2 linked regions of the Alligator mississippiensis genome follow. The protein of the gene in region 2 purifies or fractionates together with the protein of the main gene of each other region. This does not show direct contact. Links are inferred from orthologs where the notes say so. Each region holds a gene or a part of one and is shown on either strand. Other genes may lie near its edges.

Evidence for each region. The genes of interacting proteins can lie anywhere in the genome.
Region 1: the proteins of PSTPIP1 (region 2) and WAS purify together in Homo sapiens (affinity purification with western blotting; 3 studies listed by BioGRID and IntAct, with this or other methods). This does not show direct contact. The link is inferred for Alligator mississippiensis from reciprocal best matches to the Homo sapiens genes PSTPIP1 and WAS.

The regions. Positions count from the first base shown.
Region 1 is NC_081831.1:28,376,826-28,380,574, reverse strand, and holds the start of WAS (actin nucleation-promoting factor WAS), read left to right. Parts: upstream 1-1,338; 5' UTR 1,339-2,190; coding exon 2,191-2,304; intron 2,305-2,679; coding exon 2,680-2,820; intron 2,821-3,483; coding exon 3,484-3,570; intron 3,571-3,749. UniProt on the Homo sapiens protein: Effector protein for Rho-type GTPases that regulates actin filament reorganization via its interaction with the Arp2/3 complex. Important for efficient actin polymerization. Possible regulator of lymphocyte and platelet function.
Region 2 is NC_081834.1:29,629,493-29,633,241, forward strand, and holds the start of PSTPIP1 (proline-serine-threonine phosphatase-interacting protein 1), read right to left. Parts: upstream 2,575-3,749; 5' UTR 2,122-2,574; coding exon 2,089-2,121; intron 1-2,088. UniProt on the Homo sapiens protein: Involved in regulation of the actin cytoskeleton. May regulate WAS actin-bundling activity. Bridges the interaction between ABL1 and PTPN18 leading to ABL1 dephosphorylation.

The DNA of each region.
Region 1 (3,749 bases), on a different chromosome or scaffold from region 2:
GGTGTTTGCGTACAGACTCCTAAGCCTGCCATTAGAAGCCCTAGGATTCCTGGTGTTACTACTAGGATTTCTTTTTGCCAGAGCCCTCCAAGGATTACACTGCAACTTTTCCAATGTGGTATCAATTGAACTTTAATAGTAATCCCTAGACCAGGATGGTCCAACACGGCCCATGGGCCACCATGCGGCCCTGCCAAGGCATTTTCTGAGGCCCACAGTGCTGCAATGGGAAACGAAAGTAAACACTGTTTACTTTTTTCCTGCTCCTTGTCCCTCCCCTGTCACCTCAGCAGCTTCCTAATGGCTGCTGAAGGGCTAGGGAAGGGACAAGGTTCCCACATGCACCGTGTCAGCTTGACATTGCTGACGCGGTGCATGTGGGAAGAGGAGTAGCCATGTGCCTTTCAGGACAGGATGAGCCCAGCCGGAGCAGCAGGGGCTCAGCTGCACTTTCCCCCTTCCTGCGCCAGTCAGTCCCGAGTGGCACATGGCTCCACTGCTGCCTCTGCTGGCTGGTGCTGACCCGGGTGGGTCTGTCCCATCCAGAGCAGCATGCGGCTGAAGCCAGATTCCCCCGTGCTGCTGGGGACGGGAGAAGGCCGGCCAGGTCAGCTCCAGCCAGCAGAAGCTCCAGCAAAGCCGTGTGCCGCTTGGGACTGACTGGCGCAGGCAGGGGGAAAATGCAGCTGAGCCCCTGCTGCTCTGGCTGGGCTCGTCCCGTCCCAAGCGGCACATGGCTCTGCTGCTGCTTCTGCTGGCTGGTGCCAACCTGGCCGGCCTCCTCCCGTCCCCAGCAGCACATGGGAAGCCAGCATGGGGGGCCTCGGCAGGCAGGGTCGTGGCGTGACCTCTGCGGGGCGAGGTGGTGGGAGCCAGTGTTTGCCGAACCCCGCGCTCCAGGCTTGCAGCACTGAGACCACTGAGGCTGCAGGCGGCCAGGCACCATGGTGAGCAGGGCCGCACGGGCAGGCGGGTAAGGGGCTGCGGTGCAGCGGCCATCTCGCTCCAGCCCCCCTCAGGCAGCGCCGGCTCGTGGGGCTGCGCTGCTCGGGGGATGGAGATGTGGAGCTATTTATTTCTCCCCTTCTGTCTTTGGGGCAGTAGCTGGCTGGATGCAGAATGGGTCCCTCCTGCCCCTGCCCACCAGCAGCTACCATGAACCTTGCCATAACAGGCAGGTGCAGTAGGGCTACACAGGCAGGGTCTCTTTGGCCCAGGACAGAGGGTGTTTGAATATGGCTTGCCGGCCCACTGGGTGATAAAAAGTTCATGATCCGGCCCCACATTCAAAAAGGTTGGACACCCCTGCCCTAGACAATATTACAGGTTTTCTCCCCATAATACAACCTGGCAAGTGGCTCCTTAGATGCTACAGCAGTGACCCTCAGGGGTACCAGGACTCAGGTCCTCCACTGGGTGTGTGGGCTCTTAGTTTCTGGTTGCTTCTGCCTCCCCAGAGATACAACACAAAACATACATATTCCTTTGTTTGTTCATTACTTTTTAATTGTTTCATTCCAAATAGTCCAATCCCCTGGCTCTGTGCCAAGCACTTTTTACGTGATTCACCAATCCCCTGGCACTGTGTCAGATATATTCCTTATAGGGAAACTCTTGTGTCTTGCTCACCTAGTGCCCAAGCACAGCACTCGCCTCTCCCAATGCCACAGAAGGCGTTGTGTTCAATTTTGCTGCTTAGCTCTGGGAAGGCCTGGACTATGGCTAAAAAGCCTTAACATAACTCAGTTTGCCTGTGACACCTGGTGAGCTGTGGAATAACCTATCCATTGGCCGGTGTCGGAGAATGCTTCCTATTGTACCCTGGGATTCTGGCTTCAAGATTGTAATTTCTCAGACTTGTACTAATAGTTGATAGCCCATCTCCCGGCCATCTCAGTTTAAAGCCCTATCCAGAAGGTATGCCATTCTAACCAAGAAAAGCTTCTTCCTCTTTGGTGTGAGGTGGATGCCATCTGTTCCCAACAGGCAGTCCCTGATGTGTGTGCCGTGGTTGAAGAAATTGAAGCCCTCGCAGTAGCACCAGAGCCGGAGTCCTCTGTTCATTTATTCTATGCATGTCACTTCCCCCTGCGCTGCCTGGTGGTTTCAGAGCTTCCTGCGGAAGTTCCCTGGGGTGCGGCCAGGCCCAGAGGGACCCGAAGACCAGCTAGGGCCAAGGCTAGAGCCACAATGAGCCGTGGGGGCCGTATCGGGGCCCCAGGACCCCAGGACCATGTCCCCTCCTGTCTCCTCCAGCCCCATGAGAACCAGCAGGTGTTCGAGCTCCTGGGTCGCAAATGCCTGGTGAGGCCTGGGGGGTCTGTGGGTTAGAAGTGAGAGGCACCATGGAAGGGGCGGGGGGCTGTGGGTTGGGAGTGAGAGGCACCACAGGGCTGAGGGTTGGGAGTGACGGACACAACTGGGCGGGGTACAAGTCAGGAGTGAGGGGCATGAGGGGATGGGCTGCGGGTAGGGAGTAAGGAGTGCCATTGTGGGGGCTGAGGGTCAGGAGTGAGAGGCACCACTATGGAGTTACTGGGTACCACTATGGGGGCTGCAGGTCAGTAGTGAGGGACACTGTTGGGGCTGGGAGGGTGCGGGTCAGGGGTGAAGGGCACCACAGGATTGGGGCTGGCTGCAGGTCTAATGCTCACCCCCTGTGGCCTCCCCCACCCTCAGACCCTGGCTACGTCGGTGGCTCAGCTCTTCCTGGCGCTGCCACCTGGGGCCCGGGGCTGGGCCAAGCAGGGCTGTGGTGTCGTTTGCTTCGTCAAGGACAACCCGCGGCGCTCCTATTTCATCCGCCTCTATGACCTGCAGGTTACTGTGGGACCCCATCTCTGGGACATCCTCCCCAGCCCCCACCTTCCCTGACCCCAACCCTGACCCCTTATATTGACAGGGTACCCAGGAATCTGGGACCCCAAACCCCCACCCCCCGACCTCAACCCTGACCCTCTAGTCTAGATGTAAAACCCAAGCGTCCAGGACCCAGACCCCCACTTGCCCAAGCCCCTAGTATGGGTAGAGAACCCAGTTATCTGGCCCCCTAGACTCCTCCCTCCAGTCCTTAGGGTGGGAAGAGAACCCAGGCATCTGGGATCCGGATCAGCCACAACCTCTAGCACAGGCCAAGAACTCAGGTGTCTGGGCCTATAGCCCCAGTCCCTAACCCCTAGGAAACACAGGGAACCCAAGCATCTGGAACTCCAGCCCCTCACCACTTCAATCTTTAGCATGGGCTGAGAACCTAGACATCCAGGAGCCTGGGACTGCCTCCCCCTGCCCTCCCTGACCTCAAACCTTGACCCCTAGGATAGGCAAGGAACTCAGTCTTCTGGGTCTCCCCCCAACCACCCTTTGAAACAGACAGGGAGCCCAGACATCCAGGCTCCCAGCCTCCCCACCCCTCCCCACAACCACAACGCAAGCCAGGGAACCCAAGTATCCAGACTAAGTCCATCCGTCTGTCTATCCACGTAGGGGTCACAGCTGCTGTGGGAGCAGGAGCTCTATGCCCAGATGACCTACATTGCTGCCACTGCATTCTTCCACACCTTCCCGGCTGACGTGAGCATCTCTGGATGCCTGGGTCCCCACCTGGATGCCTGGGTCACATCCCAGTTCTGGAGGGGGGCAGGATGGAGCTGGGAGCCCAGATGCCTGAGTTCTTATCCCAGTTCTAGGAGGGGGCAGGTCTTGGAGGGATTGGATCTTGAACACGTGGGTTCTCAGGAAAGGGTTGGGGG
Region 2 (3,749 bases):
GTCACAGCTGTTAGCAGGGGTGGGCAAAATGTGGCCCAGGGGCCAGACGGGGCCTGCCAGGCCATTCTATCCAGCCTGCGGGGCCCCTAAAACATTTAGAAAATTAATATTAATCTGCCCTGGGCTGCCTGTCATGCAGCCCTCAATGGCTTGCCGAAACTCAGTAAGCAGCCCTCTGCCCAAAATAATTGCCCACCCCTGGGTCAGGACAATATATACACAAAAGATTGAATCACTCATTGAAACAGATGCAACAAATATATGTTTGCCTTATGAATGGGTGCAGCAGCAACTTATGGGTGTGAAAATAATTGCTGACCTTGTGATTTTAGGGAGAGGTTGTACTTTATTGCTACATTATGCAATATCCTGTAAATTTTCAGTATTAGTTTTAAGATGATAAAGCCACCATAGTACAACCACATGGATATCTTTTATCTAACTCAAGCCCCTTGCAACAAACTGTTTCCTGCTGAATGATAACAAAAGGAAAGTGTGTTCACTCTAAGGAATCACAAACCTCAAAGCCTGCTTAGGATTATTTGTATGCTAACTTTAATGAATACCAACAATGAGTTTCCTTGTTATATTGAGATGAGAAAAACACAATAAAACACTGGTGTGGGCCAGGCCATCATTTGGCATAAATCAGTTTAGCTGCACCAAAGTCTGTAGAGCTATCCTGATTTTTTCCAAGTGAAGCTCAGCCCCTTAGAAAATGAATACAAAAGAAAAGGCATTAATGTAAAATGAAAGGTTGCCCAATTTAAAACACAGTCAGGAAATCCAAAGGCTCCCTCCAGCAGCACTGTACATTTCCTGTATATTCTGCTTATATATTCACTGAACTAAACATAAAAGCAGGACTAGAAAATGTCTCCTTGGTGCATCCCAGCTGCATTAACATTATAATAGGAACTTTAATTTTTGCAGCATCTGGTTCTTTCTCTTTTAGCAGTTCAAGCCTCATCCTGGGGAAGAACCTTCTGGAAGGGGCTCAGAGGGAATTTCACTCGCTAAAAGCAGAGCAGGATTTGGTTCCATGCCCTGAGAAGGTGCCACAGGTGTTAGACATCAGCCCGTCTGGGGTATGGATCTCCTTGCATTCACCGCGGAGCAAGGTCATCTGTGCAAAGGGTCTGTGCTCCAACAACAGCTCCAAAGCCTACTGCATGCCCCCTCTACTGCTCCTTGGCATCACTGCTCCAATGGAAGTCATCTGCTAAGAAAGTTGGCTCACATTTCTCTTATCTCCCCACTCAGTGCCATCCTTGGTCCATCCCTTCCGCTTCATCAAAAGGGAGTTGCTACACAGAAAGGAATACAGCACTGAGGCTGCACTGAATTTAATGGCCTCTCTCCTCAGGTCTGGTGAGGGGATGATAGAAGTTTTGCTTCCTCCCACAGACACATCCCAAGATTTATGCAGGTGAAACCCTGCTATGTGCAATACACGGGAATATTGTGATGGTTCACATATTAGAAGGCAACTAGAAAGACTCAAAATATATCTTCCCAAAAGAAATATTACTGGGTTTTTATTTGGAGAGCTGACTACAAATTTTTAAACCAGAACTATTTTTGGTTTAGAGAAATATGGGACTTATAGTACCTCATGGATGCCTTTTTTACATATAACCGCATTATACGCACACGGGCAATAGGTGAGACGTAATGGTGTCTGTGCGCCTGGTTGGTTCTGCTAAGGCTGCTAAAATTCTGAAAGCAAGTAGAAGAGGATTCATAACACAATTAGTAACGGTTCACCTGCTTGCAGTTACCCTGCCTGAAAACCTGAGGAAACTCCCAAAAAACAAGTGATCTTGACACTACACGACAAACTAGTCCTTTTTTCTTTCAAAACGGTTGGATTCCACAGCTTAGAAATAAAGAATGTCAGTTGCAGTTCAGTCAGAATTGGACACATTTTCTAAGATCAAATGATTATCGTAGCAAACAGTCTAACTTTGGACGGGTATAAGCTAATTTTGCTGCTAAACTAAGTTTGAAGCATGAAGCAGTAGTAAATTAATCCAAAACAAAACTTAGATGTAGAAATAAGGTTTAGAACAGGAAATGTACACTTACCCAAAATGCATCTTTAAACTGCAGCTGTGTCATTATTACTGAATTATGGAGGGGGGAAAATTCCTTCAACTGGTTTGTTCTGAGAACAGATTAGCAGCAGCACTCAGCTTTGCAGTCCTTACCATGCACCGGCTACAGCAGAAAGTTAAATACTTCCACACTCCTGTTTGCTCTAAATTCAAGTTGGTGAAAAACAGCATTGGGCAGTTTGAGGAAGCTCTGTGTCATGATCTGTTACTGTGAACAGAGAGGGAAAAAAAATCCTCACTCACAAGAAAAAAAAAAAAAAAAAAAAAAAAAAAAGAGAAACACCCTAGCCCCAGACCTGTTTCTCTTCTGGTAAACAGTTAATATTGAAATGAGGAAGCAGAGAAATGTCAAGCGATGTCAGCCTGCTTCTTGTCATGTGTGCATGTAAGCTACTGGCAAAAAGAAAAAAGAAAAAGAAATTGGTGAGAGTATCTGATCACCTACAGGAGGAGAGTTTGCAATAACAAAATTAATTAAACCAGCACAATAGAAAGAGATAAAGAAGAAATCAGATTCAAACAGCCGCACACTATAGCAGTATTGCAAAAAATGTATGCATGACATTTCTTTAGAATCTTTTGATCTTGGCAAAAGTCCATATGCATACACAGGAAGTGTAGTTACATAGTTATATTTTGCAACTGCAAGTTGCTTTCAATCCTCCAGCAGAACTAAGGAAATCATAAGGTTTCTTTTTTATATACATTTTTCTCTGATTTGCAAACTACCTTCTTCATACAAATGTTTGTAAATATGCATGTGTGTAAGTGTGTTTACTAAAAGAAACATGCTAGCATCTGAATGGTAATCCAGAGCTTTTCTGCCATTACTACATAAGAAATTTAAAAATGTGATAATTGAGTAAAATGAGAGCTAGCAAAAAACAAACTGTTCATGTGTGCTATGTCATCTGTAAATAAAAGGCTAAGGAAGTGACTGTTATATGCACAATGAAGCTGGATAAATGAGCTTTAGAAATTAATTCCAAACTATGTAGAAATCTAGAAGGGAGGGAGAAATTAGGGTTAAAAACTTACTAGCACAGAGATCTGAAGTTAAACATTCTGAAGCACAGACATTTAATTTGGCAGCATGCAACACCACACCCACTGAAGCACTGAAGTGCACATTATTTAAAACAAGTAGCTAGATAGGTTAATAGATTTATAGGTATGTTAATAGTGATAAATATGATCACTGTGCTTTCTTGAAAAAGCAGTCTATCTGTGTTTTTCCAAATTCACATTGTGTAATACTCAGTGCAATTTTTGTTAATCTCTTTCAAACTTTTGAGAGCTTTTGTATTTTAAAATTCTGACTGGAATTTGAAAAGGGAAACTTTTCAAGAGAAAAAATATCCCATACAAGAAAGCTCCCTTCATCAAACCACTTATTCCAAACTGGTCCTCTATGTGCTCAATTCAATTGCTGTTCTGCTAGAAAAAAATTAAGCCTGGCATATAGAAACAGCAATAGCACTTGTATCTATCTTTCAAGGATTCCAAAGTACTCACTGAAGAATCGAGAGCAATACCTGTAAAGATCCAGCAGATCATTTGGCCAACTGGGGTAGATCACGTTAAAAATGGCCATTGGGTCTAACTCAGTTCACCCACAATTTGCATCTTACT